Coturnix japonica: one gene and its partners. The main gene of each other region encodes a partner of the protein of the gene in region 5 in a complex. Links are inferred from orthologs where the notes say so. Each region holds a gene or a part of one and is shown on either strand. Other genes may lie near its edges.

What was found.
Region 1: CACNG1 (region 5) and CACNA1S share a complex: the UniProt entries of both Homo sapiens proteins name them as parts of the calcium channel complex. The link is inferred for Coturnix japonica from reciprocal best matches to the Homo sapiens genes CACNG1 and CACNA1S.
Region 2: CACNG1 (region 5) and CACNA1C share a complex: the UniProt entries of both Homo sapiens proteins name them as parts of the calcium channel complex. The link is inferred for Coturnix japonica from reciprocal best matches to the Homo sapiens genes CACNG1 and CACNA1C.
Region 3: CACNG1 (region 5) and CACNB1 share a complex: the UniProt entries of both Homo sapiens proteins name them as parts of the calcium channel complex. The link is inferred for Coturnix japonica from reciprocal best matches to the Homo sapiens genes CACNG1 and CACNB1.
Region 4: CACNG1 (region 5) and CACNB2 share a complex: the UniProt entries of both Homo sapiens proteins name them as parts of the calcium channel complex. The link is inferred for Coturnix japonica from reciprocal best matches to the Homo sapiens genes CACNG1 and CACNB2.

The regions. Positions count from the first base shown.
Region 1 is NC_029541.1:631,436-638,006, forward strand, and holds the start of CACNA1S (voltage-dependent L-type calcium channel subunit alpha-1S), read left to right. Parts: upstream 1-2,186; 5' UTR 2,187-2,351; coding exon 2,352-2,512; intron 2,513-5,381; coding exon 5,382-5,487; intron 5,488-6,571. UniProt on the Homo sapiens protein: Pore-forming, alpha-1S subunit of the voltage-gated calcium channel that gives rise to L-type calcium currents in skeletal muscle.
Region 2 is NC_029516.1:51,090,850-51,096,784, forward strand, and holds part of CACNA1C (voltage-dependent L-type calcium channel subunit alpha-1C), read right to left. Parts: intron 4,813-5,935; coding exon 4,489-4,812; intron 4,255-4,488; coding exon 3,958-4,254; 3' UTR 1-3,957. UniProt on the Homo sapiens protein: Pore-forming, alpha-1C subunit of the voltage-gated calcium channel that gives rise to L-type calcium currents. Mediates influx of calcium ions into the cytoplasm, and thereby triggers calcium release from the sarcoplasm.
Region 3 is NC_029542.1:3,807,394-3,813,876, forward strand, and holds the start of CACNB1 (voltage-dependent L-type calcium channel subunit beta-1), read right to left. Parts: upstream 4,457-6,483; 5' UTR 4,198-4,456; coding exon 4,111-4,197; intron 3,021-4,110; coding exon 2,934-3,020; intron 1,490-2,933; coding exon 1,370-1,489; intron 1,257-1,369; coding exon 1,134-1,256; intron 961-1,133; coding exon 824-960; intron 746-823; coding exon 669-745; intron 1-668. UniProt on the Homo sapiens protein: Regulatory subunit of L-type calcium channels. Regulates the activity of L-type calcium channels that contain CACNA1A as pore-forming subunit.
Region 4 is NC_029517.1:17,384,898-17,390,832, forward strand, and holds part of CACNB2 (voltage-dependent L-type calcium channel subunit beta-2), read right to left. Parts: intron 5,464-5,935; coding exon 5,312-5,463; intron 4,551-5,311; coding exon 4,455-4,550; intron 3,183-4,454; coding exon 2,997-3,182; intron 1-2,996. UniProt on the Homo sapiens protein: Beta subunit of voltage-dependent calcium channels which contributes to the function of the calcium channel by increasing peak calcium current. Plays a role in shifting voltage dependencies of activation and inactivation of the channel.
Region 5 is NC_029533.1:6,955,379-6,961,838, forward strand, and holds the start of CACNG1 (voltage-dependent calcium channel gamma-1 subunit), read left to right. Parts: upstream 1-2,794; 5' UTR 2,795-2,922; coding exon 2,923-3,163; intron 3,164-6,460. UniProt on the Homo sapiens protein: Regulatory subunit of the voltage-gated calcium channel that gives rise to L-type calcium currents in skeletal muscle. Regulates channel inactivation kinetics.

The DNA of each region.
Region 1 (6,571 bases), on a different chromosome or scaffold from region 5:
GAGCGGCAGCGTCCATCTCTGTGCTCTCCTGGAGCTGGGGGGGGCTCGGGGGCAGTTGGCTCAGCCCCGAACTGCCGTAGGGTCCGGGTGGTGCCGGGGGTCCCTGTGGGTCCGTTCCAGCTCGGGCCGTTCTTTGGTTCGTTAGGGCGGAGGTCCCGTGCTGCTGCTGTCCGTTATTGCGGCCCACCCGCTGCTGTTTGGCCGCTGGGTGGGCCCTGAGTCCTTGCTGCTCTGCAAGAGGTGGTAGCAGAAGTGAAGCTCTGTCTTCCACAAAGGGATAGTGGAAGGACAAGGACGAAATGAGATGAGGGACCATCCCGGTGCTCCCGAAGCAGAGCTGGCTCTACGGTGGGTTAAGTGAGTGCTGCAAAGTGAAGGCGAGGAAGCTTTGGGCAGTGCTATGCAGCGGGTGGATCAGCTCGCTGTGGTGCAGGGTGTTGGCTGGGGCACAGCTCTATTAGACCATCACATCTCAGTAGGATGGGAGTATGGTTAGTGTGACTGTTGACTGCTCCAGCAAAACCAGAAGAGCAGCACGTCCTTGTGCCTTGATTTCCCCACATCTCTGCACTGCTGCAATTCCTGTGTCTTTCATTCACAGCAAACCAGAGCAGGTTTTGGACTCAGTGTGGAGCCTGAGGTTGGGGTCTAATCCCTGCCTGCATCAGCTCAGTGTGCTCAGCCTCAGAGACCCCAGAGCTGCAGGACGACGAGGGCTGAACTGAGCAGTGAACACCAAACAAAGCTGAAATCCTACAGAAGGTGGAGTGTAACGGTGTGGGCCATGGGTGTGTACAGACTGCAACAGCTGGTTGTGAGATTCTGTAATACAGAAGGGCATGGAGGCATTATTTCCCTTTTGTTACGGGTTGCCACAAACCACCACTGATAAATACAATTTAATAAATATGATAAATACAATTTAATAAATATAATAAATACAATTTTTAAAAGCAGATGTATCTGGATAACAACCTGTTATAGATATTACCAAGAAGTGTGTGTGTACATATATGTAGTAAATCTGGAGGAAATAGCACTGAGAACATAAGAAATTAGAAGTAGTAGGAAGGAAATGAGATGCACTGAAAGTCAGTAATACATCACCAAATGCAGGTGGCTACTGTACAGCTTCTCAATGCTGTAACTGCTGGACTTATGACTGAGTATACTTAGCATTACTACACTTAGGACAGTTGCATATAATAATGAAATTATTGTGTACCAAACCAATCTTAGAAGGCTGTGAGTGGATCAAACCAACCTCACGAGAGCCTAATTAGGTAAACCTGTTTCAGAAGAGGCCAACCCTCAAAAGTGGACCAGACAGTGATGGACTAAATCTCACGTTGGAGTTGATTTGCATCACAAAGTTTGGAGTCAGCCAAGGCTCCCCGGGGAAAATTATATTTAATTAGGAAATGTAGGGAAGGAAACTTCATGTGATGCAGAAAATTCTGAGGGAGAACCTCCACTTTGGCTAGGAAATGAGACGTTTTTGTATTGCAGAGACTGAAGATACTGCCTCTTAGAGCAGCCAGTAGTTACTGCTGATTTCTCTCACCTGAGCTGATTGATAGATTACAATGTTTCCTATTCCCAGACCAAGATTCATTTTCCTGAGGCTTGTTTTCTCCTTCCAGGTGATGTTTGCTGTTAAAGTTCTTCAGTTTTGCTTTTATTGATGGTATCATCAGGATGTCTCTGACTGTCAGGTTCCCAGCTGCCAAATGAGGCCAAGCCGTGCCTTCCAGGGATGCTCCCATGCTGGCAAGAATCATGCTCTGTCAGTGTTCTAGCAGGTGTTTGCTGTCAGCATTTTCCCCCTTAGGGCCAGCTCACCTTTGTGGCTACACCCATTGAGGGGCCTCAAGAATATTTCTTTGGGAAAGTGCCCCGCATCCCTGTTGTCCTTTTCACCACAGAAATGTGATTTATCAGACAGGACTGCATGTGTTCTCCTGGCTTTCCTTACAGCCTGGAGCACGGGGGAAAGAGGTGACAAGGGACAAAAAGCACTTTTCCTTTGGAGAAGATGAGCGTGGTGCCAGGCAGCCCTCCCCACCCCCAGCCCTCTCAGCGGCATGCTAAGCACTTGCCCGCCTCGCAATGCGCCGGGTAAGGAAGCGACAGCTGCTGGGGTCCTTTTGCTGCCTCAGGAGCTGCGACAGCACCCAGGAGCCAGGGATCTAAATTTAAGTCTGTGCTTTGTGTGCTGTGCGTACCAACGCAGCCTCCAGCCCCCAGAGCCCGGCTCCTCAAGCAGGGGGATCTGGAGGAGCTCTGGCTGGCTGGGGCTGGGGGTTTGGCCGAGGGGTGAGAGAGAGAGAAACAGCGTGAGGAGAACCACCATGGAGCCTGTGTCTCAGCAGGATGATGTGAAGAAGAGGCAACAGAAGGAGAAGTCCAAGAAGCCAGTGCCACCAGTAGCCCCTCGGCCACCCAGGGCTCTGTTCTGCTTAACCCTACAGAACCCACTGCGGAAGGCATGCATCAGCATCGTGGAGTGGAAGTATCCTTTGGGAAGGGGTGCTGGGGAGCAGGACCCTCAGTCTGCAGGAGGAGAGCTCACAGCACACTGCTGTGGTGGCCATGCTTGGGCTTTGTGCTTGGCTGTCCCACTGAGCCGATGAGGGAGCAGGAAGAGCAATTGGGGACACCTGGAGGATGTGTTAGAGGCAATGGTTGTGTCAGCTGGGCTCGGATGAGCTTATATGGGAAGATGGGGCTGTGAAGCCATGGGGGATCTTTGGTGGGGTGTTGTAGAAACAACCTGGGTGGCAAGGGACTGTGGGGTGTGAATGTGTTTTGTGTCTGTAAGGAGCTGTGCTGGGATGGGAGAGGTGTGATGGGGATGGGACCAGGCAGAGCAGGAGAGCCATGGCTGGGAACTGCAGTGAGAGGGGCTCGGGGTTGGGCAGTGAGACCACGGTGAGCTGCTTGGGATATCTCTTTGTGTGCATCACCTCTTGTCTTGTCCTGCATCTACTCCCTGCCATGCTGGGGGGGCTGGCAGTGTCTCCCAACTCCTTGCCAATGCTATCGTCCCCTTTTCCTGTCCCTCCCTGGTACTGTATCACAGGTGAAGGCTTTTTGGAGTGTCATTTTTCAAAAGGATGTGATCTTCCAGTGCCCCTGAGTTAATTCAGGGATGGGCTTCTGGGGTTTGCTTGTTGACTGGCCATCTCTTTACTGGGATGTTTTGGTATGGAAGAGAAGCACAGCTTCTATTCAGCCCTTCTGCCACCCTAGGCTGAGAGTAATGATACTGCCTGCTCTCCAGCTGCCTGGAAAGGATCCTGTCCCATGTCAGCTCCTCAGCTTTGTGGCTCTGACAGCAAACACTGCAGAGCAGAGATGAGCCCCAGGAGAAGGAATGCATGCAGCGATACCAAACCCATGCACTAGGTATCCCCACAGAATACAGTCGCAGCTAATCCCCACTTGGCAGCTTGCCTGGTCTGACGTCCCTAACTGTCCCATGAGGGCTTGTACATCCTGACCCTGAAATGAGGGCAGTCAGGTGCATGGGGGTATAAAAACAGCCGGGCACAAGAGCAATGTCACTGAAATCCATTGCCCAGGATTCTGTGTCCTACCCAGGTCGGAAGCACCTCCCTGGTGGGACACCACCTCTCCCTCCATGCTGCTCTCCTGATGCACTGATGTGGGAGAGGCTCTCTATGCTCTGCCTGCTCTGGCATGTGCTGACCCAGGATGAGGAATGTGTTTGAGCATGCTGGAAGACGTAGGGCCTATTTCCAACTCTTCCCCTGCAGCTCGTCTGTATGCACAAGTGTTTTCCATACCCATTGCCCATTTGAGACAAACACCGCCCTGAGAAGGATGTGCTGGTGAGGCATCTCTGAAGCAGTAAAGGAGAATTCCCCAATCTGGACTCTGCTCCCTCAGTGGTCAGAAAGTTCCTTTCCAGCATGGGAACAAGAGATCCAAGTCCACTTCCAGCACTGCGCTGGTTAATGTGGCTGTGATTCCTGCTCTGCTTACCCAGCTCTCACCAAACAGTCACATATCTCCCACATCCTTGCACCTGCACAAAGGCTGTGATGAATGGCAGCAGGGTGGGCTGCTCCTTTCACCCCTTCAAGCAGGTAGCTGTGTGTTGCTCACCCTATGGTGCTGAATCAGACAGTGGCATGGCTGCTTCAGACCCATTCTGCATAATTAACTGGGAATGGGGATAATTAGTTGATTAACTGTAGTGCAGGGAAATGCTAGTATGACTTCAGGGCTGCTGTGCTGGGATGCTGGATTTCAAGGTCTGAGCTGCAGGTGCTCACAGGAGGCTCTGCCCAAGGTGGGATGAGAACTAGGAAGCACTCAGCAGTGAACTGGGGCCAAAACGTTCATTGTGTTTTGTGCCACGCTGTACCCAGACCTGTCAGCAAAAGGCCACCAGGTGCACAGAGAAGACTCCTTTGCTTTTAGGCACGTGCACAGCTGCACGGTGTGGTGTCTGGAGCACAAACCTGTGTGGCCTGGATGCAATCAGCAATGGACAGCAAAAGAGCATGGCTGGCTACTGTTCTTCCAGGGTGGCACGGGACAGTGGGCTTGAGCTGTGCTGGGAGGAGGAGAGGCTGTGGTCCATGGGGTGGGAACCTTGTCATGGCCAATGTCCTGTGGGAGTGTGAGCCCTTTTGGGACTGCTGGAATGTGACAGCTGTAGCCTGACCTTGAGGTTTCAATGGCCCAGCAGAGCAGTGACAGCAGCAGGAGTGACCAAGTGGCTGTCCCTGGGCCTTGGAGGTAAACAACAAACCATCCTTTTTGTTCAGAGGTGCCCCAGGGCCCAGATGACTCAATTCTTTCTGGGGATGGAGGGAGACTCTGGCACTCAGCAGAACAGCCATGAGTGCACTGCCTGCATGGGCTGTGGGACGTTGAGGTGTGAGCTGTGTGTCTGCTGGTTGAGCTGCCAGCCTGGGGTGACACAGTGTACATTAGGTCTGCAGTTCTGCAGCCTCTTCCTTCTGGCGGCTGGGCACCACAACAGGAGCCAGGGCCACCAGGCTCTGGAGTGCAATGCTCTTGTGATCTCTGTGTTATGGGAGAGGATCTTGAGCCTTCAGGGTGGCTCCTGAATGATGTGAAGGGGGAATTCCCAGGTTTCCAGTCCCCTTCCTGGTCCTCCTCAGCTGCAGCCTCTCACTTTGTGCTTTGTCCCCTTACATCCTGTGTGGGTGCTGCCCCTCTCCAGGTCCTGTTTCTCACCCTGTCTCAATTCCTTCCTCTCTCCAGGGACCCCAGGAATGGGCAGAAGGAGGCTGTTTCCCTATGCTTCCCCCACATACACCCTGACAGGCTATATGCAGGGACTGCTTTCCCATCTCTCTCTCTGCTCCTTAACACTGTTTCAGACCTTTTGAGATCATCATCCTCCTGACCATCTTTGCCAACTGCGTCGCCCTTGCCATCTACCTGCCCATGCCTGAGGATGACACCAACGTGGCCAACTCCAGCCTGGTGAGATTCAGCCCTCCTGCCACCCTCCCCTCTGCAAAGCTGCCGTCAGCCTTCACTGCTCCATGGAGCTCATCCTCAGTGTGTCTGGGTGCCAAGTGTTGGCATCTGTAGGGCTGCTGCCCTGTGGGGTGGCCTCATGTGTCAGTGCAGTGAGAGAGGCCACAAATCAGAGAGACACCACTGCAGAATGGGTCTGGAGAGGTGCTGGAAATGGGTGTAGGATGAGACCAAAAGCAGCAGAGTGGTGTGAGAAGTACAAGGGAAGGAAGGATAGATCTCCTCCTTTTTTTTTTTTTTTTTTTTTTTTTTTTTCCTTCTTTTAATCTCAGTCTTTCCAAAAAGAAACTTCCTGTTTCAGGAAGGCTGAAATGTTTTGTTTTAGCATCTTTGGGACCGAATTGCCTGGCCATTCATTTCTAAACTGAATTTTAATTCTGGGACATTTTTTTTTTAAAGAGGAAAAAATAAACCACCCAAAACCTCTGTGAAGGAGAGATCAAACCTTCCCAATCCATTATTCCATTGTTTCCAGTCCCTCCATCTTGCCTGGAATAAGATGTTTTGGTGTGATCCAAATCAATAGCTTTCATTAGGTTTAGTTCGCCGCGTCCCCCTCTTAGATCCCAACTGTAGTTCAATCCATATTGATTTCTATGGTGAATCTGAGTTTGGGCACTGAATCAAAGCATCCAAATATGTTGTTTATACCAAAATGTTCTGTTTGCTAATTTCAGGACTCCGCAGTGATGGGGTGGGTGTTGTGTGCAGGTTAGTGCTGGCAACCTGTGGCTTAAAAACACCTCTCTGTATTCTCTTTTTCCCTTCCAGAAAAATCTTAAAGCAGTCCAGAAGTTTGAGATATGGAATAGAAAGAAAGGATTTCATTTGAGCAGGTTACTTCCCTGGCCATGGGGATGTGACAGGGCTTGAAAGGCGCAAAGAGGTTATAGAGGCAAAGAGGTCTGTGCCAAGAGATGGAGATGGAAGTGATAGGGAAGAAGCAGGAGGTGGGGGTGGCAGCGGTGGGTGGGATTTGGCTGAGATCAGGATGCAGGTGAGGGCAGAGCTGTGGGAAAGGAGCACG
Region 2 (5,935 bases), on a different chromosome or scaffold from region 5:
AAGCAATGATACATTGCTTTGGAAATTATCAAGAAATGTAAAAAATGCATTTGCCCTTTTTTTGTTGTTGTTGTTTTCATCATCGTTGTCATAGTCACTGGGGGCAGGGTTCTGAGTCAGAAAACAAAGCAGAAATAGATGCGGTTCTGTACATGGCACCTCTCTGGCTGTCCTTCCATGCTGGGTGAAGTGGGCAGGGTAACAAACCAGACTGGACCCTGCAGCAGCAGCATCCACGCCATCATCATCCGTATGTCCAGCTGAAGATACAGGTGATGCAAAAAAGGTCTGTGGACAGTGAAACTCCAGCTCTGGACCACGAGTTCCGCTTGCTTCCCTGTCACATCAGCCACACAGAATAAGGAAGAAAAAAGAAATGCACCCGGTGTGGCTGGCCCAGTACTGCCTGGAGTAATGAGCAGGAGTGGTAAAGGGATGAGGTTTGTTGTTTTGTAAGAAATGTCTTTAGTCTGCAGTGTACTCCTGCAAGTCAGAGATGCTCAGTGGAACAGCAGATCGTCTTCCCCTTTCTTTCTTTCCTTCCTTCCACGCCACTCCTTGGCCATTGGTTCCTCCATGGCTTCCATCCACAGCACAGTGACTGTACCCACCATCTACTCCTGTGCACCGGGAGAGGAAGGACCCCTGGGTACTATGCCTGTCCCACTTCCATCACCCCCAGACTGCACCTCACCTGAAGGAGGCAGTAGCTCTTTGCTTAGACCTGTCACAATGTGCATGCTGCGTGTACCTCAAATGGAAATAACAAAAAAAAGCCACCCTCCCCAGAAAGAGAAAACTATGCAGCTGGCACCAGCAATGGCTGTACTGATCACCTGCTCCTCAGACAACACAAGGCATCTGCATGCTCTGCTAGCCATGCACTTCTCACTCTGCAGGACCTAAGCCATCTTCCAGCAGACTGCAAGGATTTCCCTGGCTATCGTCAGCTTTGACCCACGGGGGAGCCACAGCTTCACCAGCAATGTGCAGGGCACACTCCTTTCCTTTCTTCTCCTTCGCTTCAGGAAAAGTCCTAAAAGATGACAAGTACTGGCAGATATCCAGAATGCCCCTTACCTCTGCTCCTCTAGGCCAGTACTTTGTTAATCAGGAGCAAGGAGCACCTCTGCCTCTTAGTGGGAGGGCCAGGGGAACATTCTAGTGGAGGAAAATTAGATAGGGAGCCTCTTTGCTGCTTCCGTTTTCAGAAAACAACCAGCACAGCACTATTTCCTTTCAAGCAGATTTGGAGCACTGCAGAGCTAGCAACAGCAAACTCACAAAGGGAGAATTGCTCACATGCCAATCATGGTACAGACAAGAGGGATGGAAAAAATGAGGCTGACAGACTTCAGGTGGTTGCTTTCTCCAGGGACTTGGACTGGGACTGTGATGCCAGATGGTTGCTTAAGTGGGTTCACATTTCCCCAGCTTAAAAGGATTTGTTGGCAAGGCATCTTGAGCTGCTACTGGCCAGTTCAAAGTAACAAGAAAAAAGTGCACTTTCAAAAATATCTTCCACTATTTCTGCTTAATGGCCCCAGCAGAGTCAAGAATTAAACCCAAGGGCATTACGAAAATACATAATAAACGATGTAATCAAACATCTGTGAAGCTCACGACTGGAATGAAAGTTTAGCTCTGAGTCAGATCACACCTCTGAGTACTCATCTGCAAGTTTGTGAAACATCTTGAAAAGGGAGAAAATCAGCAGCAGTCTAGACAGAAATCAGCCGCATAAAATCTAATAATATCTCCCTGGTTTCTCAGCCGCTGTGTGCCATCGTGGAGTGAATCAGGAGAGGTTCATGCTCAGCAGCAGGGATATATGGCTGGGATATGCTGTGGCATCAGGTGTTTTGTGACCCATGTGCTAAGGTCTGGGAACATGCATGGAAACAGACAAAAGTCACTGAACATCTGTGTCATGACCAGACCACAGCAATTTTCCTAAGCAACAATCCAGAGTCTGTCCCTCACTTACCCAATGCTTTCAGTCCAGAGTTAGGCACATTTATTTTGCAAACGATTCTGCCATTTGCATTTGCTTATCCCACCATCCTGTTACAACTATCAGGATGAACTACCTAACCTCAATCTGCAAGCAGGTGCTTTTCCCCTCCCTGAATTGCTGGTGCCAGCTGAAGACATGGGATGAATCTTCCACATGGGCTTGGGTATCTCGCCACTCTCTCGTGGGAAGAGAGCTTTGGAGAGGCTGAGCAAAAGGAAAGAGAACAAAGCCTGAACAAAATGTCCCGGCCTCAGGAAGAAAGGTACTCTCTACCAACAAAGTCATCGTGCATATTTAAAGGGGTGAGGAGGAAGGGTAATGAACACAAGATATGCAAAATCAGTAACGTTCGACCTGTCAGTGAATTGCAGAATAGTTACTTACACCAGGTACACTTTGTTCATTGTACAAATTAAAAAAGGAAAAAAATAAAACAAAATATAGTACCCCTGTCCCCGACCACACGTAGAAAAGCACTTAAAAGTTCAAAGGTAAAGCTTGGCACATTCCAAATACGAAATGATTCACTTGACATGCAGCAAAATATACAAGAAGTGACTCTTTTTTTTTTTTTTTTTTTCTTTTTCTTTTAAAACAAACTGAATTCGATTTGATAATATTTGCTTGGCACAATTGCAATTCCTTTTAAAAAAATATTTGAAAAATACCGAAACTGACCTGAATTCAAGTATAACGGTTTCTTCAACAGAAACATCATCAATGCAATAAAACATCACACGGAATATATTGAAGCGTAACGCCTTCTGCTTGGTTGTTCCCCCAACCCCAATAATTTCTTTTTTTTTTTTCTATACAGTTTTAATGCCAACACGACTTATGATTGTATTTTAAAATTAATATTATTGCATTGTTTTTGCATATCTTGTGGAACAGAAGATGCAAAGAGTTACTGGTTCCCCACCCGACAGCGGGCGCTGATTTGGCGCTGCATCCCAATGGCCCCATTGGTCCCTGGGACCTGTGGGGCTGTGCCAAGCGTGTTGCCCGCTGCCGTTCTATGATAACACAACAACAAAAAAAGGAAGTTCCGCTCGGTAGCAAATCAAATGACAGAGTCTTGGTGTACATAGTGGTCGGTAAAACTTGCCTACAGTGTTATGCTTCTACCAAATGCCAATGGAGAAAAGAACCTGGCTTAAATAAAACAACATGGTCAAACCAACGTAACATCTGCAAAGGTGAAAATAAACCCAAACAAAAAGGTAGGTGGTTACAGAACCTTGTAAACACTCCCTTCTCCCTCTGAAAAAATATAATAAAAATAAAATAGTCAAAATAAAAACCGCAACATGCTCTCAAGGAAACACCGAACTGCGGGACAAGAAGAAACCCGTGCCCAGCCACTCCCTGCTCTCCCATTGGCTGGCGCGGCTGTCTGTCTGAACTCCAATTGGTTGGCAGGTGACTTGCCCACGCTCAGGTTGGCTGGCGAGCGACCCTCGAGCTCTGATTGGCCAACAGCAGGAGCCGCTGCAGTCCCCATGCTCCCCTTTTGGCGGTGCTGTGTCCTCCGGGCCCAGGCAGCGGGGCCAGGGTGACTGGGGGCGGTGAGGCTCGGACAGAACATGTGCAAAATGATTTTTACAAGCAAAGTTGAAGGATGCCCGCTGGAGGCCGGGCGCGTTTGGCTGGGCCGCCCTTGGGAGGCAGTCATCGTGCCTTGTGCAGGGACTGGAAAAAGAGGGAGCTGACTCTCCTCCTGGGCACCGCGCTCATTCCAGGCGGACGCGTGCCGGGGTCCTATCCGCTCCTGACAAGTTCTCTGCCACCACCCAACTCTGCGACTCATCCCAACAGAAATGAATGAAGAACGCTGTTCCGGTTACTCCAGGTCACGAGAACAGTGAGGCACTTCTGAAACAAACCCATTAGGAACATTGAAACAAATAAAAAACCAGCATCGCTTCCAGCCCTGGCAACTACAGGCTGCTGATATAAATCCTGCTGTCCTTCAGCTCCTCCTGACTTTTTCTACAATCCGGGTTCTGCACCTCTTCCTCTTCCTCGCCTGCACTGTCCTGCCCTGCGTCCCTGCAGTGAACAAAAGGCAACAGGTTGCCATTGGGGCTCTGCTTGCTGTTACCATTGAGAATGTTGTCTGCTGCGTTTTCCATCTCTTCTATCGTCATGTCGCAGGCGTCAGCGAGTTCCTGGGTCGTGACCTCAATGAACTTTGGATCTTGAGCAAACTGCACCAGTCCTTCCGAAATCAATACCTTCAGGAGGCGGCAGAACCAGAGACAAAAGCAGACATTAGCACTATGAGTTCCAGCCCTACTGCACCCATACAGCATCTCCCTGTTGGCCATGTTGGCCCCTCTCCTCCCACTCATGCTGCTGACCCTTGCTCAGAGATGGGTTTGGCTTTGCAGTGCATCCTGCCCTCCCAAGGGTCATGTTCCTACACTGGCCTCTGTACCACCCACGTCCCCATGCCACCGTGGCCTTACCGCTTCGACCAGGCTGCTGGCGCTGCCGTGGAACTGCCTGCTGCTCCCCGCTGTCTGGCTGGGGACGGTGAGGGACACTGGCCTGGCTCTCCTTGGGCTGCCACAGTCTGAGCTGTCGGGGAACCGGGAACTGCAGTGCACGGATGGGAAGCTGCTATTGAGCTTCTCGCTGGACTCAGCCCCCTCAAGGCGCAGCGTTGGGATGGGCTGCTGTGGCCAGCCTCGGCTGCAGGGTGTAGCAGGCGGTGTGGCACACAGCCGGGAGAACGTGGTAGGGGAATGGCTTCGCTGGAGGAGGGGGCTCAGGCCGGCCACTGCCAGTGCCTGCAGAGAGAGGGAGACACATAGAGTGAGGACTCACTCAGTCTGCTGGGCTGGGACAGCAGAGTGCTGGAGGATCTACCTGCAAAAGGCCCAGAGTGTCTTGAGGCTTAAAACAGATGATCTTAGTGGTCTTTTCCAACTGTAATGACTCTTAGGAGGCTGGAGAAATAGCTGCCAGCTCCTGGAATGGTTGGGATGTTTCTCTAAACTAATTTTGAAAGTTTTCCTTGAAGTGGTGTAGCTTGCATCAGTGCCAAGCACCAGACTTAGAGCTCTCAAGGCTGGACTTCTTCCACCCTGGGACACACCATGCTAACAGAAGGGACGAGCCCTGTGCCCCACAGCCCGGCCAGAAACACCACCTCTTCTCCACCAGTTGTGACAGAGCTTTGTTTTCCCACACTGTCACCACCCATACTGTTAACTTTTACTGCCAATTGCCCTGCTTTTTCTAAGCATCCACTGTAGAACCTGAACGGATACCAGATGTGAATTTTAGGCGTGTCTGCAGATGGCAACAATTATAAAAGCACCACTGGATTTTAAGGCACCTGCTGTGGGTGGGAGGATCAATATCTGATGATTGTACTTTGAGCCTTCCAGTCTTTCCCACAATTACATTCACAGCCCCTGAGTCATTCAGTCTCCTTTGATAACAAATTTCTCAAGAAGCCTCTTGCTGCACAGGGCTGATCTGATGCCTTATTCATGGTGGATGCTGCTTGTTCCATAAGCAATGCCATCAGAATCAGCAGCTCATCTCATGCAGCTCACTGCTGTCTAATACAAACAAAGGAATAAACACACAGAAAATACAAAATGTGGGTCTTGATCAGGTTGGAGTTTGTCTCTGCAACTTTAGCTGTCTCAAAGCAATGGTTTTAGTCCAAGCTAATTGGGTAGAGGCACACCAGAAGGCTCCTGCCTCTTGGATGCCTGCTTGAAAACACTCTTTGAAGGATGAGACTTAGACAAGGCTTATTATACTTGCCCTTTGGAAATGCTGTTTCTCCCTGTTGACCACAGTGGGACTGAACTGACTGGTTTAAACTGGACAGCTAACTTTCAGATATCTGAAGTTAAGTCAAGCTCAATCCATCTGCCACTGAAATTCCAGTGAACT
Region 3 (6,483 bases), on a different chromosome or scaffold from region 5:
ATGGACCATGGGGGGATTCAGCCACGGAATGATCCACCCCATGGATGACAGAGGGATCCATCCATGGAATGATCCATCCTGTGGATCCCAGAGGGAGCAGCTATGGTCCAATCCACCCCACGGTGCCCCCCGTAGCCCCTGGCAGTGTTAGGGCAGGCAGGGTGCAGCAGGCAGGCGTGGGCCAGATTGGGCTCTGTTACCTTCCTAAAGAAGGGGATGCGCTTGGAGTGGGCGGGGGGGGTGGTGACACTGCTCACACTACTCTTAGGGGAGCAGTGGGTCTCCGCAGCCTCCTCCTCCTCTAACTCATCGGGCTCAAAGGCAAAGCTAGGTGTGTCCAGAGCACCTGGGGACGCGCCGGGGCCGGAGGGGAGAGAAGAACAGCAATAATGGTGGTGAAAAGGGGGAGTGGATGGGAGTAAGGGGGTGTGAGGAGCGTGGGGACACAGGGCTGGGGGGGGGCACCCCATGCACTCTTGCTTGGATGTGTGCATTAGTGTGCAATGTGGGGCTGAGCTTTGGTCCCACACAGGGATTAAGGGGGCTGCACGTCCCTCCTGGTGCTGGGGAGGTAGCAGAGGGGACCCAGCGGCAGGAGGGGCAGTGGGAGGGGTGACAAGACCCCCCCATCCAGCCCCACTCCCCGTGGGGAGCCCAGACATCCTTACCACTGGCTGGAGGAGTGGGCCTGCGTGTCCCTGTCACCACGTCACCAAGGCTAGAGCTGGAGTTGTCACCTGATTTGCTGGGAGGGGAGAAGCAGAGAGAGGTAAGCACGAGGGCTGTGTGAGGGTTCCAGGGGGGTGGAGGGGGTGGGAAGAACCTGGAGCTCAGTCGGTTCTGCCTCATCTTCTGCTCCTGCAGCAGCCGCATGTTCTCCAGTTTGACAGGGCTGGGGATGAAGCCGACCTCGCAGCCCTCCTTCACCAGCCTCCCTATCCACCAGTCATTATTGTATTTCTGCACCAGGGGATGGAGACAGAAATCACATCAACGCCTGTAAATGGACAGCAAACAGCAGCCACACACCCTGCAACCCTCAGCCCCATGCTCTGCCAGCCCCCATCCCCAAGCCCCTGCCATCCACACCCTCCTCCTACTCTGCTCCCCCCCCAACCACTCCGGACCCTCACCTCCTTGATGTGCAAGAAGTCTTTGGGCTCGAAGCAGATGGCCATGCCCTGCACGGGCACATCATCATTGGCTGATGGGTTGTAGCCAACATTCGTCCGGACAGCAAACGCTACCGGCTTCGTCTGCAGGTGAGAAGGAGCTGAGTGTAGGCGGCATCCCCTCAAACCCCACAGCGAGAGCCAGTGCCCCACAGAAGGCTCCCAGTGACGAGGGTCCCAACTCCCCCAGGTCCCACCTTGGCTTTCTCCAGCTGTGCCAGTGCCTGGCGCTCAGCCTCCTTGCGCAGCGCCTCACGATCCTCCTCCAGGGACACATCTGAGTCCGAGGGGCGGCTGGTGTAGGACTCAGCTGAGCCCTGTGATAGTGTGGAGAAGCCTCAGCCCCAGCCCCACAGATCAGCCCCAGCCCTATGCAAGGACAGCCCTGTGGGTGAGCACCCAAAGGACCCCATGCATTGCTGGGTGCCCCCAGCCTGTGCCTCAGTTTCCCCTGAGCCAGGGGGGGCCGTGCCGGGGTTACAGCAGGCCGAGCACCAGCGCAGCTGTTCCCATTGCTCCGGCACGGAACGTGACACCCCGCTCCCGTCCTGCTGTCAGTGGGCTCCAGGCCTCTTGTTAAACTGTGGGGGGGAGATGAGGACCCCCACCCAGAGCTGGCAGCACCCCAGCTGTCCCCCCGCTCTGCACCAAGCTGGGGGAAGTGCCCAATGCCAGCTCTGTTCCAGCCACCCAGGGGTCCTGCAGCAATGGGGCTGCACAGTACGGGGGGCTGGGGGTCACCCCAGGACAAGGCTGCAGCTGGGGCCTCTGCTCGACCCCCACAGCCCCTCATTTCACCCTGTGCTGCAGTCAGAGATACGGGGGGGGGGGGGACCTCAGGGCTGTGACCCCCATGGGGACAGCAGAGGCACCAGCCCTGTGGGGTGCTGTTCCCCACCCAGGTCCTCTTTAATCCCCACGCTGAGGCAGCCCCCACCCTTCCCATAGAGTAGGGCAGCCCCTTCCCAAACACCCTGCAGACACCAGCACCGTCCATGGGGCAGTAGCCCCCACCCAAAAAACCCACACGGGCAGAGATCAGTCAGCCCCTTTCTGAGCCATTTCTCACCAGTACGTCACAGCTTGGGGTCCAGGGGGGCAGAGGAGTGGGGGCTGTGGGGCAGCAGCAGGCACACTGTGGTGCCAAGCTGGAGGGGCTGCTGGGAGTTGCTCACCCCCAAACCCCTTTAAGTCAAGGGGGAACCCAAACCCTGGGATAGGGAGGAGGGGCAGGAAGGGGTGGCAGCAGTGTGGGGTGGGGGGGATGCTCACCGGGGCGGCGAGGTGGTCTTTGCCGGTCATCTCCATGGTGGCAGGGCTGGGGGCAAGTGGGCTGGGGGGGGGCGGGCGTTGCGTGCTGGGGCACCCGCGGGTCGGGTTTCAGACACCCGCAGCCTGCCGGGGTATATTTAGCCTGGGGCGGGGGGGTGGGGGGGACAGTGCCAAGCCAGCGGTGGGTGGATGGGGCTGGGGAGGGCGGGAGTGATGCCAGGTGGGCTGCATGACCCCCCACACCAGCATCAAAAAGGGCAGGAGATGCCCCAGGACCCCAAAGGCTCCTGATATGGGGGGTGGATGCCCCCAGCACCCCCCACCCCAAGTACTCAGCTGCAAACCAGGACCCCCTCACATGGTTCCCTGGGGGTCAAGGGCTACCAAAGAGACCTTCCCCATTAAGCCTCAGAGGATACATGCCCTGGGGGGCGGAAGAGCCAAATAGGGGGTCTGTGCCCCCCCCATCAACACCCCCCCCATGCTCACCTGCCGGACGAAGCTGTTGGAGGTGGTGTCAGACGAGGTGCTGCCATCCGAGCGCTTGAAGCGGCTCTTACGTTTGCTGTACTTGCCCTGTGGAGAGGAGGGGTGACAGGTTGGGGGGGGAAAGGGGGGGCACTGTGAGCATCATCCCCCCTCCAGCATCCCCAACAGCATCACTTCAGAACTGAGCACTGGCTCTGCACCCCCAGACCCCCACATACTGTGGTGGGGGGGCAGGATGCTCTAGGAGGGGGGGGTTGGGCCCATAGCAGCAGCACCCCCCCCCCCCCACATCATCCCTATGCCACCCCCTCGCTGTCACATGCCCCAGCCCCACGCACACACACGTGTAAGCTCCCTCAGTAAGAATGTGCCCCCCCCACTGCACCCACGGTGTCCCCCATGGGGGCTGACAGTGCCCCCATAAGGGCTGTGGGATACAGTGTGGGGGGGGTTGAACACAGGAGCACACCGGGGGGTGCTGGGTGTGAGTGGCTGGGCTATGCCCCCCCCCACCCCCCCTTAAAGGACAGCTGGGCCCAGCTGCCACCGGTGGTCTCCGGTATTTTTAGGTCCCTCCCCCCCCCCCTCCGGCTCCATCCCTCTGTGCTGGAGGAGGTGAAGGCCCCGGGGTGGGGTCAGCACCACGGAGCCCCCCATCAAACCCCAACCCCAGGGCCTGGCTGTGCCCCCACCCACACAGCCAACACTGCCTGACCCTCCCCAGCCTGCAGGGGACACACACACACACACACACACGAGATACCCCCAGCCCAGAGGGTACATCCCCCCACCCCACACCCAGGGGATGGAGATTTGGGGGGGGGTCGCACCCATTAAACACTGACTCTGCACAGTTTGCCCCATCCCCAAAAGTTTCCCTGTGAACCCCCCCCTCCTCCAGACTTGGCGTGGTGCTGTGGGGGGGGGCACAGCCATGGGGAGGTGATGCAGTAAAGGGGCGAGCTACCCCCCCTCAAAAAAAAGGAAATAATCTTCCTGCTGTCTGCTTTGATTTGGGGGAGCAGCGTGTCTACGGGGGTGGGGGGAACCGAGCTACAGGAGGCGGAACCTCCATTGGTAGGACGTGGGGAGGGGATGGGGGGGGGGGGTTCCATCCATCCTCCCCCCACCCCCCCCCCCAGGGCATTCTCTGACCCCCACCCCCCCCGGGTATCACCTGAAGGGCTGTGTTGTCGAAGACGTCCATCTGGATGTCCTGAGCGGAGCTGTAGGGCGGGCGGGCCATGCCCCCCTCCCGCACCATGGAGCTCTCCGGGCAGAGCGGGGCCCGAGATCGGCCTCCGCCGCACCGACCCCCGCGGCGACGGGCGGGCGGCCCCGGCGTGCGGAGAGGGGAGGAGGAGGAGGAGGAGGAGGAGGAAGGAGAGGGGGGGGCAGCCGCTGCCTCCGCCCCGGCCGCTCCCACCGCGCTGCCGGGAGGGATGCGGGATGCTTCCCTTCCTCCTCTCCCCTCCTTCCTTCCTTCTTTCCCTCCCTCTTTTAGGGGAGGGCACCCCCAAAGCTGCCCCCAAAACAGGGGGAGAGATGAAGGATCTCCCCCTCAAAAAAAAAAAAGGCATACATATATATATATATATATATATATATAAATATAAACGCAGTGGGAGGGGGTAGCTCTGACCAGCAGCTCGCTGCAAGGAGCTCCCCTAAAATCAAAACAACATGGGGGGGGGGGCACAGCCCCTTCTCCATATCTGGGGCTAAACCTGGCTTCCAACCCATCCCTGGAGGGGGGGATCCATGCTGAGAAATCCATGCCCCCCCCCCATAGAGCCCAGTCCCCCTTTGTGGGGTCCCCCTGTGTCTCCCACTCCTCCCGAGCAGCCACCAGCTGTTGGAAAGTTCCTTATTCCTGGGGGTCCCGCCCCCCCCTCCTCACTCCCACACAATGCACCCAGCACAGCTGACACCACGTTTTCCATTCTTAGACCCCATCCATCACCGTAAGGTGCCGACGACAGCACCTGTGCAGCCAGATGGGTGGCACAGCCCTGAATGCAAATGGGGACCCATCTGCAGCCCCTCAAGCTGGGGGTGCAGCCCTGGATAATGGGGTGGGGGGATGGATCAGCTGGAGGTGGGGATGGGACAACATGGAGGTGGTGGGGGCAGAGGATGAGTGTTGTGCTCCCCAGAGCTGCGTGGGAGCAGAACACAAGCAGTGTCACTGCTGGAGCTGCAGTGCAGGAGGATGGGAATGGGGACTGTGCTGCAATGGGTGGAGTGTGGGGTGGGAGCTGTGCCCTCAACCCTATGGGATGCTGTGTGGGGTTCAAGGATGCACCCACAGGGGGGAGGTGTGGGTGTTAGAAGTGTGGGCTCTGTTGGTATGGGATCCATAGAGGTGTGGGCTCTACATTGATACAGGTTGAAGCCTCCCCACCTTCTCCACCCCACACGAGGGCCCCAAAGCCTTACAGGACATTGATTCACAGCTGCAGGTTCACAGATGGACACGATCCAGGTGCTGCTCCAGGGGGCAGGTAATCAACCAGCAGCTGCTCTCCTGCTTTGGGAACCACCAGATTTGAACGTTGAGATGTAGAAAAAACGCCGAGTCAGGTTTTTAAACAGCCCAAGCCTGTGTTTATCCCTGTTTGTCTCTCAAAACCAACCCGAAATCTGCCGCCACCAGCCTCCCTGTCACACACACCATATGCCAAAACGCATTCGGCCGCCAGAGCCACAGCGTGATGGCAACAGCACAGACTGAGCAGGGAGCAGCTGTAAGGGAAGGGGCTGCAAAGGGGCTGCAAGGGGAAGGGGCTGCAAAGGGGCTGCAAAGGGAAGGGGCTGTAAAGGGGAAGGGGCTGCAAAGAGGCTGCAAAGGGAAGGGGCTACAAAGGGAAGGGTCTGCTGTAAGGGGCTGCTGCAGGAGGAGCTTTAGCTGCTGTAAAGCTGGACTTGCAGTGAAGCAGAGACCCATATTGAGCTGCTGGGGGAGCCTTAATGCTGCCCTGTGGTGTCTGAGGCCACAAGGGGCCGCAATGCTCCTCACAACGGGCTTCACACCAACACAGGCCTCACGTAGGCCATAGGCCTCACTGCGACCCCCGGCCTCACAACTCCAGGCCTCACACCAGCTCTAGGCCTCACAACTCCAGACCCCACACCGTCCTTAGGCCTCACGCTGACCACAAACCCCACACGACCCCCTAACCCCACATCAGCCCCCCCCTAAACCCGACCCCCTCCCACCCCTCATACAGACCCCACCCCTCACCCCCCCCCAGCCAAGATGGCCGCTCCGCCCTCACGCTGCCTACTCCGCGCCACTGCGCATGCGCTCATCCCCAGGCCCAACCCACGGCGCATGGACCGTACCACTGTGCCCAGAGGGGGGGTGCGTGGTGAAGCTTTTCCTCCCCCCCACAACGCGAGTCCGTCCGTGTCGCTCCTTTCGCTGTATCCACGCGTGATCGTGACTCTGTGTTTCTCCGGCCTCGTTTCTCTGCTTTTTGTGGCTGAATAATGCGGCTGTTTGGTGCTGTAGCACAGTGGTACATTCCACTCCCCGTGGCTGTGGCTG
Region 4 (5,935 bases), on a different chromosome or scaffold from region 5:
AACCCTTTAATTCTCATATGGTCAAATGCTGAATATATAGGTTCCACTACATTCTTTGGACTAATAAAATCTATTGTTGCTGTGGTTTGAGAACAAATACAAGATCTGAATCTGCTTCCAACAAAATGCTGGTTTATAAGCTCAGATGCATCTTTTCTGCTATGATGAGCATGTGTGGAGGAGCACAGTCAATACATTTAGAGCCAGTACCATTATTACCCTGCATCTGCAGACTTGTGTAGAGGCTATTAGGATTTATGGGCAAATTCACTGACAGTTAATTTCCCTAAATATTACAGACAATGAGCAGATAATGTTTCAGTCTGGACTAAGGTCTGGCCTTGTGGTTTATGGCCAAATTAGGGCTCTGATATAAATTAAGTTCTGCAGTGCGGAAGTTTAATGGCCCAATTTCATAAGATTTTCACCCCAAATGGGTTGTAATTTCAAAGAATAGGGGTTCTTGAAAAGAAGTCTAAGCAGAGTTGAAGGAGGATAGAGGAAAGTCTGCATCTGCACACTCAATTGGACTCACTCTGTTTCCTCCCAAAGGTTCCCTAATCACCTACACCATTTATGTTTGCTCTCAGCCTCCGTTATGGAATTTGTCAGCCATCTCTTACGAGCGGAAATCTGAGAAATCTCCAAGCCCTCCACCAGACAGGCAGGAAGGGTGTGGACTTCCCCAGCTTCATCTCAAACAGCCCCAGGAGACCTCACACCTTCAAGCATCTCATGCCATGCAATGCACACCATCAACACTGTGCTGTAGAAGTAACAGCTGGCAACACAAATCTGTCATTGCAATAAATACTGGGGACTAATAAAGCCAAAAACCAACTAGGTCTCATGGCAGAGGGGTGCCACATTGGACCCAGATGAGGATGAGTCGAATGCTTTGCTTTGCAGATGTGACCCTGCCAGGCCAAATGCTTTCTCTCTGGAGAAAGCATGGATGTCTCTGGAGCCATCCACAAAGACAACACATGACGTAAACTTAAAACACTTCCAATAGTAGATTTCAGCATGACCCAGATAATGGGTTCAGCTGTCATGATTAGAAAACCCGCTCTGTTCCAAGACCTTGACAGACCCAGGTTTGAGGTGTCAGCTGAATGTGTATCAGGAGAGTGAAACAAAAGGAACATAGAAGTTCTGTATTCCATAAGGAAAGTCCACTGCTCTGCACATTTGGATTAACAGACCTACAAACAAACAGCGAAACTGCAAATACACTCTGAATTTTAGTACTTAAAGTAAAAAGTTGTTAATTTGAGAGGAGATACAGGTAACACAACAGTCAGAAATGCGTTTAGTTCCTCCAGAGAATGCGGTTAATAAAATGAGTGAGTTATAAATCCACACCCAACAGACGTTAAAAAATAAAAAGCTTAAATAAAAATAATTAAGATGTTTACAGAGCAAATCAAGTTTATCTAGCAAGTCTGCACACGACAATACTGAATTTCATACTCAGAAATTCTTCCAGCTCACATTTTTTTCAGTGCGTTTCAGCTCTGAGGACAGAAAAAAAGAGGCAAAAATGAGCTACAACTTAAAGTCTCTTTTCCTGCAACTGCATTTGAAAGCTGGAGAGGGAAATACCCTGCAAGGTAGCTGAAGCGATTTTTCTCATTAAAGAGAGAACCTGGTAATTCTGTGGGAAATAAATCCTAATAATAATTCTAACAAGAAATAAATTCTTCAAGACAAAAAATAAACAAAAACAAAAGCCCCAAACTGTTTTGCAAAATCATAAAAACAAAACAAAACAAAACAAACAAACAAACAAAAAAAAGCCAAATTGTCATCATTTCACTTACAGTGAAGAGTTGTTTTTTTCTTTAAATTTAGTAAGTTTTTTTTTTAGCCAAAGTTATGGACTCTGATTTGTGCACACTTTTTTTGGTGTATATACATCCGCTTGGTGTAATAAATGTAACGTAATGTAATAAGCCATTATTGGAGCTGGATTAGATCCACCTTTACCCTCACTGTAATCTTTTTGACCTTGAGGTGTAGTGATGTAATGAAGCAGCATCTTTAAAGTCCTCATTTCATGCCATGCAACATATATACAAAGGAGAGAATCTCTTTATACACAATTAGGTAAAGTAAAAGTTGAAAGAGAAAAGAGAAGATACAATATGACCAAAGACAAAGGCAGGTCAGCGTGCAGGTGGAAGCAAAACATGATCTTCCCAGCTTGCCGGGCAGCAACCCTGGCAGTTGAAGGCAAGCTTCCTCTCAAGTCTGTCTGCACAACATGCAGTGGGACTCTGCCTTTATGTAAGAGTTTGGCTTGAAGGAAACATGCACTTTTCACAATAGAAGCAAGAAAAAAAGAGCAAAGGAAACACCTGAAGGGCCACCTTGACCTTGAGACCTCACTAATGTGGTTAGCCACTTCCAACCTCCACATCCCGACATACTGTGGGAAGATGTGCACAGGTTCCCTCTACCCTTTGTGAGTCTGCTCTGCATAACCCAGTTTTTCATGTCGGGACTCTGAGGGTGGGATTTGCCTGCTAGTGCAAATGTGCCTTTCAGTCAGAGAGTTACCAGAGGCAGCAATGCACATAATATTAGCTCAATTTTATTCCTCTGGTTGGATTACAGAGAGCTGGCTATAAAAATGCTTGTGGCTGGTACTCACGTTTCTGGCATAGTGGTGTTCCAGACACAATGAAACCTTATTCTACATTGCATCACTATATGTTCTCAATCAAGCTTGCTTAGCCTCAGGAATCAAAATCTGCCCACCAGTCAATATGCAAACACATGCTACTGCAAATAGAACAGCAGTAAGAATAACGTGTCTGTATTTGGTTTTCATACCAGAAATGGGCAACTATGGAAAAGTGCTTTATCACCAACCGTAAAATATATTCAGCATATTCTAGTATCAGACCACCACTGTGCTTTGGAAGGGAAAGTCAAAAGAAAATTTACTATTAAAAAAAAAAGAAAAATAAGATATGGTATAAAAACTGTACCTGTAAATTAATATTTGGACCTGGGCTAATAGGAAGAGTGGCTGTTGCAAGTGTCCGAGTGAGAAGCTGGTTGGGAGGATTGCTGCTAGGTGGATGTGTGGCCTTCCAGTAGGCTTCCAGATAGTCAGCGAGGTGCTCACAAGCATCTTCCAGCTGGTTCTCATCAAGAATTACATCGAACATCTCCTGATAAAGGAAAAGTTTTAGTGAAGATAACCACCAGCTCAAGGGAGATCAGCTAGTGACACTGACGACTACACTTTGCATTCATCAAAAATGAACCACGCTTATAATAACTGTATTAAGACATTTCACCTTTTTTCTTCTTCTTCTTGCAAGTAATACAAAGGACAGCACTTATAACTAATGCTGATGTTACATTAGCTAAGTCAAGCCCTCATGAATTCCACTTAGTAATGCATCAGCAGTCAATGAAGGTGAGAACAAGAGTCTTGAAGAAGTTTTAAAACTCAAATATTCAAAAAGAAAAGTTTAATATTAAAGTTTCTTAGCAACTAGAACAAAATGAAACTTTAAGAGAAAGAGACCACCATCCATACATAGAACAATGCAGTCAAAGTTAAGACAAACTAAGACAAATAATTTGTAACAGTGGTAAGGAAGAGCAGTAAAGAACATAAATTTTCCAAGTTTAATATAAATACTAGGCAAAAGATTAGTCACAGGTACCTAAATTCAGGGGGAGAATTTCTTCTCTGGTCAGGCAGTTAGATGTCCTCCTGAAGGCAATTCTGAAAGCCTATAGAGGTTTCTAGCATTGTTCATTGACTTCTGGAGGAGCTGAGAAACTAGCCTTGTAGCTGAGTGGCTTGAACTTCAATGGAGAAAACATTTTCCTCGCTCAGCTTCTTAACTATGGCAAAGTTCCTCATCTGTAATTGAACTGAACATTTGTCTTCTGGGTTCTGGTCACATTCCTGGCAGCTGAGTTTGCTGGTAACCTGGTAACACTGCTTGCCACACACAGCATACGTGCATGTCAATAGGAGAACCACAAAGTTCTCAGCTATGTGGCACCCCACAGCTCTTTGCCAAAACTGTGACCAAGAATGTGAGCAGTGATGGACTCTGGTGACATACGCTGAAGAGAGCTACTCAAGTCACTTGCCTTACCTTAAACTGCACTGTCATAAGGAGTTTATTTTTAGATCAATAACTCAGAAATATATATCAAATAAAACAAACAGTTTTCTCAAGCAGTGCATGTATTCAGCACACATCCTAATAAATGTTTGTGACAAGGAATGTTTTTCCCCTGTATCCTTGTGAAGAGCCCAGAGACCTCAGGAGGCATTGTGCAGAAAAGCAGTGAAATATGGCCAGAAGGGAGCGAACAGTCCTAGCAATTACATAACTAACTTGCTTGACAGGACAGACATCTTTAAACAGGAATCAGCTCTTCTTGGCCAAACAAGACACAAATCAACATTAACTCACAGGAGGACACTGTGCCAGTTTATCAGCTGCCACCATCTGAACATTAAGGTGTTTGGCCTGAGATTTCCCTCGAGATTTTATTAACCTCTGTAAAACCTGTGGAAAATAAGACATTTATAAAAGTATGTTAGTAGTGGAGAAACAAACCGACAATAAGTATGAACTCTCTCCGAATCACTTTGAGAATACTTCTCACTAAGTGGCCTGTAAGCAGGTACAGACATAACACACATCTTTAGCCACTTAAAAAACACTTGAGCAGATGATTTTCTTCATTTCTGGCTTCAGGAGCACCTCCCCTGCTGCTTACATCCAGAACAAGCTAATTTTCATTTACTCCCCAGCACCTATGATCTATTACCAACACAAAGAAGTTCCCTTCCAGTTTTCCTTTGCTGCTTCTGTGTTTGTTTCTAAATTAAAGTGATTTAATTGCTCTCCTCACTAATCCTATTGTATTTCAGTCTTGTCTTTCAAGTGCCTCTTCACAAGGCCTGTGCAGGTTATTCAGAGAATGAAAGTAGGTAACTAAGAAGTTTAAGAGCTCACTACATCACTCTGATATTCATTATTTTAAAATCTTTCCTTCTTTTCTCTATTGATTGAATAAATTGTTAACATAACTTACAAGGCTGATACTAAAGAACATGCAAACACACACAACACAGTCCCAATTTTAAAAATCATTGGAGCTACAGCATCTTTTCCCAAATGTGTTTTGGTAACCTGAGAGCTAAAGTATTCTTTGATTAGTAATGGTCCACCATCTGAATTAAAATACTAGCAGTATTTAACAAGGACACAGGATCATCTGCATTCAATGCCTATACAGCACAAATATCCAGTAAAATATTTACCTTAGGAGAAGAAATCTTTACATATACTATAATGGGTGCCAAAGAGGTTTTGCTCAGCTGTGCTGGGTGATTTATGGTGTCAGCATCAAGCACTACCAACTGCAGTGTCCTTGCTAATTCAAAAATCCGTTCAATTTCACTCTGAACTTCAGCTGCAGGTAAGGAGAAAGTCAGGAAAATGTTAAAAGGCAAACAGTTGTAAGCAATGTAAAAAAATAAAACCTGAAGTGATGCTGATGTGTTGCTCCACCAAGGGATATCGCAGGTGGGAGCAGCCATGAACTGCTCATGTCTGATGCTGGGAAATGAAGGTGGCATTAGTGAGAGCCCCAGCTCACTTTCCCTGCAGGGGGACTCCCTGCCCCTTTCTGCCTCCACTACTCTTGCTTTCCCATACAACCCTATCCCATGTACATAAGAGAAAAACATGCTGCATCATGTACCTATCCCTATGCCACTGTTCCATGTAAATAATTTCATCTCGGGCATTAATTCCATATGACAAACAATTTGCTCAAACTGGACTACCTAGGGTAGTCATTAAAATGTACTGAGGTGTCTATACCAGATGAAGCTTCTGTTTTTCCATTTATTTCAACTAACCAAAGCACCAGAAAACAGGAT
Region 5 (6,460 bases):
GTGGGAGGATGGGGCAGTGATTTCACATCCCAAAAGCCAAGGTCTGTGTCAGACTGCAGCGTGCTGCTTTGTTCAGCCAAAGCAAAAAACAACCTGTGACATTTGCCAATTCCAATTAAAAAAAAAAATAAAATCCCCCCAAAATCCCTTTTCCTGTAGGAAACTTTGATTCCAACAAAACTGATTTGTGATCCTTGAGCATGAATGGTATCGATGTATCAGAAGGCACTGGATTGCTGTTGGACTTTGAAACCACTCAATGATAGTTTAAAATAAACCTGTTTCTCTGCATCTCTCTGTTCATCCCTGGACAGCATCTAAAACAGATCAGCCCCAGTTTCTCAGTAAGGCCCGCAGGTATCATCATCCCATCATTAACAACAGCCGGTCCTTTGGAAATAGCCTATAGCACACCACAACAGCAGAAATGCTATTGGAGCAGATTCCATTTTCTGAGAAACAAATTTCGAGTATCTCATCAGCTCTCTCTTTTTGGTTTCTCATACAGAATAGGAGAAATCACTTCATGTGCCCGTACCAATAACAGTAAACTCTTTTTATATTTCCTTTCTGTATGGATCACAACTCCACAAGGGCTAATATATCACATCCCTTGAGGTTGCATTTCTGTCTGCAGTTCTAACGTGTTATTGCCACTGTGCTTCAGTTCTGCTGGTGTAATCACAACCGTGTATAATGTACTTAATCCTTCCTTTTTAAATAAACCATTTTAAATGTATATCTGGGCTTGCGTGGAGAAAGATCTATAGATTCTCAGCTTCCAGATTCTCTGAGATGAGATTTCTGCATTGTTTTGTTCTTTTTTATGTTTCTACCTATTTTGATGGCAGCTAGTTTGTTTTACTGGAAGGGTAGGAACACTCTTGTGTTCACACAGAGCAAGAAATACCCAGGATAAGCCATCTCTACAACATTTCCAGACATTCAGGTAGGAACCTCAGAAAAAAAAAACACCTCCTAGTTTCTAGATTCTATGATTCTTGTTACCAGATTGAACATGGCCCAGATGAGGCGCACTCTTTAGCTGTTGGCTTGGTGTCTTCCTCAAATACTTCTTTCAACTTTCCCTTCCCATTTCCTATGCCTCCAGGTGGTCTCTCAATAGGAGGCTGCACATGTGCCTGCAAACCTGCAGCCCCCAGTGCTCACAGATAAGTGGGGTATCACAAACAGGGAGGATGTGGAGAGGGGAGCAAAGGCAGAGCCCTTACAGCTCTGGGACAGCCCTTACTGCCCAAAGGGACGGAGCCTGCAGGGAACAGTGCACCATGGGGCTGCTGGGCTGGCAGATGGGCAGCAGGCTTCTTTGTCTATTAAAGAACACATGACAACAAAAACTTGCTTTGTTCTCACCGTCTGCGAGGATTTCAGCCTCAGTCCTTGTCACTCGGTGAGGGTCTCCTGCAAGAAGGGAGCTGCAGGTCCTGGTTAGTGTGCTTGTGGTGAGCACTGAGGTCAGTCAGCACAAAATGCAGAGAGGTGCAGATGCTGGGGAGCAGAGCCACGCCAACACCTCTGCTGGGACAAAAAAGGCAGCACTTGGTCACGAGACACCATTTACCATTGTCTTGAGTAAAGAAACACGACCGTGCCATTTTCACTTTTTTCACTCACTGCTGCTAAGTGCCTCTAATTACAGCCCTGCCTGCTTCCCAACAGGTCCTCATTAATACTCTGTTTATATTTCAAGTGATATTGATTTTTGGAGGCAAATGCTGCCCAGCTGACACAGGGACACAGCGAGAGCCAATCCTCTCTGCTCCTTCTGCCCCTTTGGGTATCAGCTTCACTGGTTGTTTGTCCATAGTTTGGGGGGAACAGGTCCTGTGGGAGCACAGCCCAACCAAGGAGTTTCCTCTCTCAATAACCAGTGGCACCAAATCATGTTATTTGCCAGGGAAGGATGAAATTTTCCTTTTTCGTTCACCTTCATTATTTCCTGAACGTTTTTAACAAAATTCACCCCCACGCCCCCCCCAAAAAAGGAAGGAAAAAGAAAGGCAAATTCTGAGGGACAATCCAGATTACAGAGTACCTGAATGAGAGCAGACAGCAGGATCCTTGCCAGCATTGGAAGAGGCGCAAAAACCTACAGCAACAAAAGAAGCAATGATGGTCCTCACCACCCTCACCACCCTCTGAGTGGAACATATCCTTTCAATATGGAATCACAGAATGGTTTGGGATGGAAGGGACCTTCAGGTATCATTTAGTCCCAGCCATTCTCCAGTGGAATTACAATGATATAACTTCACCGTATTTCAGAAGTTAAACTTTGGACATAAACCTTTCTCTTCTTCTGGAGGGAAGCACAGCACCATCCTTCAGACACCTCTAAATACCTTCACGAGTCAATATGAGTAAAAACAAGCAATACAACAGATAAAAATTGGCTCCTTTGGCATGTCCTTTACAGCCTGCCCTTCTGCCAGCACCCAGCTCCAAAGCTCCCCGTGCAGACACAGCCACGAGCTGCCGGCGTGTGCAGGCACTTTGCAGGCTCTGGCTCTGTTATTAAGCTATTTAGGATCAGACTGAACGCAGCTCCGCCGCTATTATAAACACAGATGGCTTAGAACCTAACTGAAAAGTTAATCATCTCTTTAATGCCTATTTCTGGTCATGCTGCAAGTCAGCAGAACGGAGTCTTTCAGTGGCGGTAGCGGCTCTGAAGGAGCACCCGCTTGGCCGTGGGAATCCAAAACAAACGCGGGATGGGACGGGGCGGAAAGCTGAGCTTTCCTCTCTCTGTGCATTAATAGCCTCCTGACACAGCCCAGCAGCTGGGGCTGACATTTTGCAGAGGCTCAGACGCGCCAGGACGAAGGGAGCCCGCGTGGGGAGGCTGCGGGTGAGCAGGACTCAGGGCAAGGCGGCCCAGGAGCTGCATCCCAGCACGGGATGGACGAGACCAAACCACTGAAGGTGCGTCTCACCTTCTGCGTGCTGCTGGTGGGCGTCTCGCTGCTCTTCGCGGCCGTGGTGACGGACCACTGGGCTGTGCTGAGCCCCAGGGTGGAGGACTTCAATGCCACCTGCGAGGCGGCTCACTTCGGGCTCTGGAGGCTCTGCACGAAGAGGATTCAGATGCAGGAGCAAGGTGCCAAAGAGAGGGGCTGCGGGCCCATCAGTCTGCCTGGAGGTACGTATGGCTGGTTGTCCCTGTGTGGCACTTTGCTTGGGAGGCTGCAGGATGCTGTGGGAACCGAATGTGGCCCAATGGGCTGCACAGTGCTGTGTGTTTGCAGCTGCATTTGAGTCATCGTCTCCAGTGCAATGGCAGCAGGGGGTAAAAGGGGAAGAGGGTCAGGCACGGTGGGAACTGGGACAGAGTGAGCTTTGCTGATGTCCCACAGCACCCAGGTGCACTGACAGCAGTGGGCAGAGCTTTAGCAGAAGGAGTGTTTAAAGAACTGGGCCCGACTGCATGGCTGTGCCTTTTGGATCCCCTGAGCCTGCTCATGGCCAGCACTAGCTTATCCCCAAGCAGTTTCAAGAACAATCATTTCTCAGGGCAGGGAGCTGCCGTTTATATTGCGAGCTTCCAACAAGGAGTTGTAAACTCCAACAAGGAGTTCAAAACCAACTTGCTCCACCCTTCACTCTTCTCTCCCCATTTTCCCCTGCTGCAGTCAATGGGGAGCGGGCTCAGCTCCGCGCGTGGTGCCAAGTCAGCAACATTTGCACCGCGTGCACTGACGTTCCCATTTGTGACTGTGCTGCAGGAGGCCCGTAGGGAACTGGACACCTTCCAGGTCAGAAAAAAACAGGACTGCCTTCATGTCAGCTACGCTGCTAGAAATGAAATACATACATTAGCATATACTTGAAAACTTCATGTGAACAATCTTAGTGCCTGTGTTTGCTGTATGCTGCCCGTATTTGCACAGTTCTTTACCTATTTGGCTCAGTCACAGTGCTCAGATCTGCCTCGAACCAAATTTGGGAGTGTGTCACTCGCTGCTTCTCACAGAGGTGGTTGTGTGCCCAGGAGCACGCTGCTCACACCCTGCCCTTCCTCACATGGGGAGCATAGCACCCATGGAAGGAAAACCATAGAAATTGTTCAATAAACAACAAAACGGCTCAACTGCAGGGTAAATATAAAGCCCATAAATATCCAGCTGTCTGCAGACAGCAGTTTTGTGGCCAGGGCAGCATGAAAGCAGCTCCTGCCTTTGACAGACACCAGCATGTGCTCACAGAGCACTGAACCCCAGCCCAGAGCTGCCTTTCTCTGCAAAGAACCTCATGGAGCTGAGTCCCACACTGGACAGCCTGCAGCTTTTTCACTGTTTATAAAAATATTTGGCACTTTGGATGATATCTTGTGCCATGAGCAGCATCGGGGGCTTCAGAGCTCCTCGCATTCTTATCTCTGTCATAAAAACAACACCCAAATCCCCTTTTTGTTCACCATGGGGAGATGGGGAGAGCACAGCCCCCCTGGGCTGGGGCTGCTTAATGCTCAGTGTGCTCATTGGATCGATCTCAGTCCATTGAGGGGACAGAGAAGCTGTGCAGCCTGCAGCTGTCAAGGAAACCTGAATGGAGCAACAGGGAGAGGAGATGCAGACATTGGTTTTCCTGGAAATCATGAGATGTGGTCAGAGATCACTGCCAGCCCTGGAAAAGAAACAGCAGAACTTATCACTGCTTTAATGAGCATTTACCAGCCACTCCCTGAGGAAGAAATGGATGCCACAATTAGCACTATTTATTGGGTTCTGAGCAGAGGATGCGTTGGCTTGCAGTCCACAGAGCAGAACTGTGATTTAGGCAGAACTTTAAAATTTTACAGCACTCTTGTGAGGATGCTGACAAATTGGAGAGGATTCAGTGTGCTACTATGAGAAAGATGAAGTCCGGGGAAAGGGCTATAAAAGCTGGGAAATTTCAGGTGAATACTGAGATGTTTTCACCTGTGGTCTGAAGCCTGCTGGGGCAATGCACTGCTGGGGGAGCACAGCTCACCTCCACCTCTAGGAGAGCTCAGAAGTGTGCTCCTAGCTCAGGGCAGCAGCAGAGATGGGAGCTGGTGAGTGTGGGAACATGGGTGCCAGCATCTGGAATAGAGAGGAAATGTAGCAGAGCAAATAGGTTACCAGAAGATCTGCTTTGTTCCCCTCTGGTCCATATCCCCCCAGTAATGATGGATCTGAAGGGAAGGGGCCAGGAGTGTTGCAGGTGACCTGCAGCAGGGAGGACAGATAAACCACACACTATGTCCCTGAAGTTCACAGTGGCTCTAAATGACTGCAGAGCTCATGGGCTGCTCCATCAGCATACGACCTGTGGCAGAGAGAATGCAGTTAAGGGGTGGAGAGAAACAAAGATCGCCACAAAATTTTCTTCCACTATAAAACTCAATTTAAATCCCATCCATTATGTAAATGTGCTGTGACACAAATGGGCTTTTCTCTAATTCATGATGGCACCAGGGAGGGACTGAAGTGCCTCAGTTCTCTTGAGTAACAGGGAATCTTGTTGATAAAGACATTCCCAGCTCAGCAGTGCACCAATGTGTCTTTAAACTGAGAACAATACATCACAGCAGACAGTTCCCTATCTTTGAGAGGTTTCTGTGCTCTCCCCTTCACTGAGCCTTTGTGGAGTGAAGGGTTGGATCCCTGCATAGACACTGCTTGGCTTCACCTCACACTTTGAACAACCAACCAACCCAAGATGGAGCACACCATTTGTATCCCATCTCCCTCCCATTTAGCACGGGAGCTGAAGAATTCCCCAGCCCGGGTCACCAGACCCTCACTGACATCAGGCACCAACATGCAGCCTCTGCTCTGGGCCTCAAAATAGGCAATTTTAGACAGTGAGGTCTGAGTTCAGCTATGTTTTCTCCAGGGATCATATAGAACAGGTCAGGAGATGTCAGAGCTGAACATGAACTGGGTCTTCAGCGAGAAGAAGCTGCAGATGGAATAAAATTCAGCTTTTAAAACAAGTAGATAACAGCATCTCTGAGGAATCTTCCACTAATGGGCCCAAAAACGCTGCCTTGGAATTGCTCATCCCCTGGGAGAGGGAAAGTAAACCTTCCTTGAAACAGTAACTCTGCAATCTGCCATTTACATGACAGCAAAAAAACAAAAGAACCCAAGATGTAACACAGAGTGCTCTGCTACCTCCTCACCACGAGCAAAGAGAGCTGTGTGAATAAACAACAAATGCAGTTTGCTCTGGGAGCTCCTGGAAGCCAGTGCTGGCTCCATGACTGAACAGACCAGAGGTGTTGGTGGTAGGAGCCAGTGATCCTAAAGGGACAAACTGGGGTGCTGAAGAGCCCTCCAGCCCAGCACAGCAGAGAGCTGTAGGTGCACATTTCCAGCCAAATTCCCTACAAACAGCTGCTCCCCACCTCTCCAAGCTTCCAATTAAACAGGTTATAAATAGCAGGCACCCTTCGTCCCAGCCGTGCTGC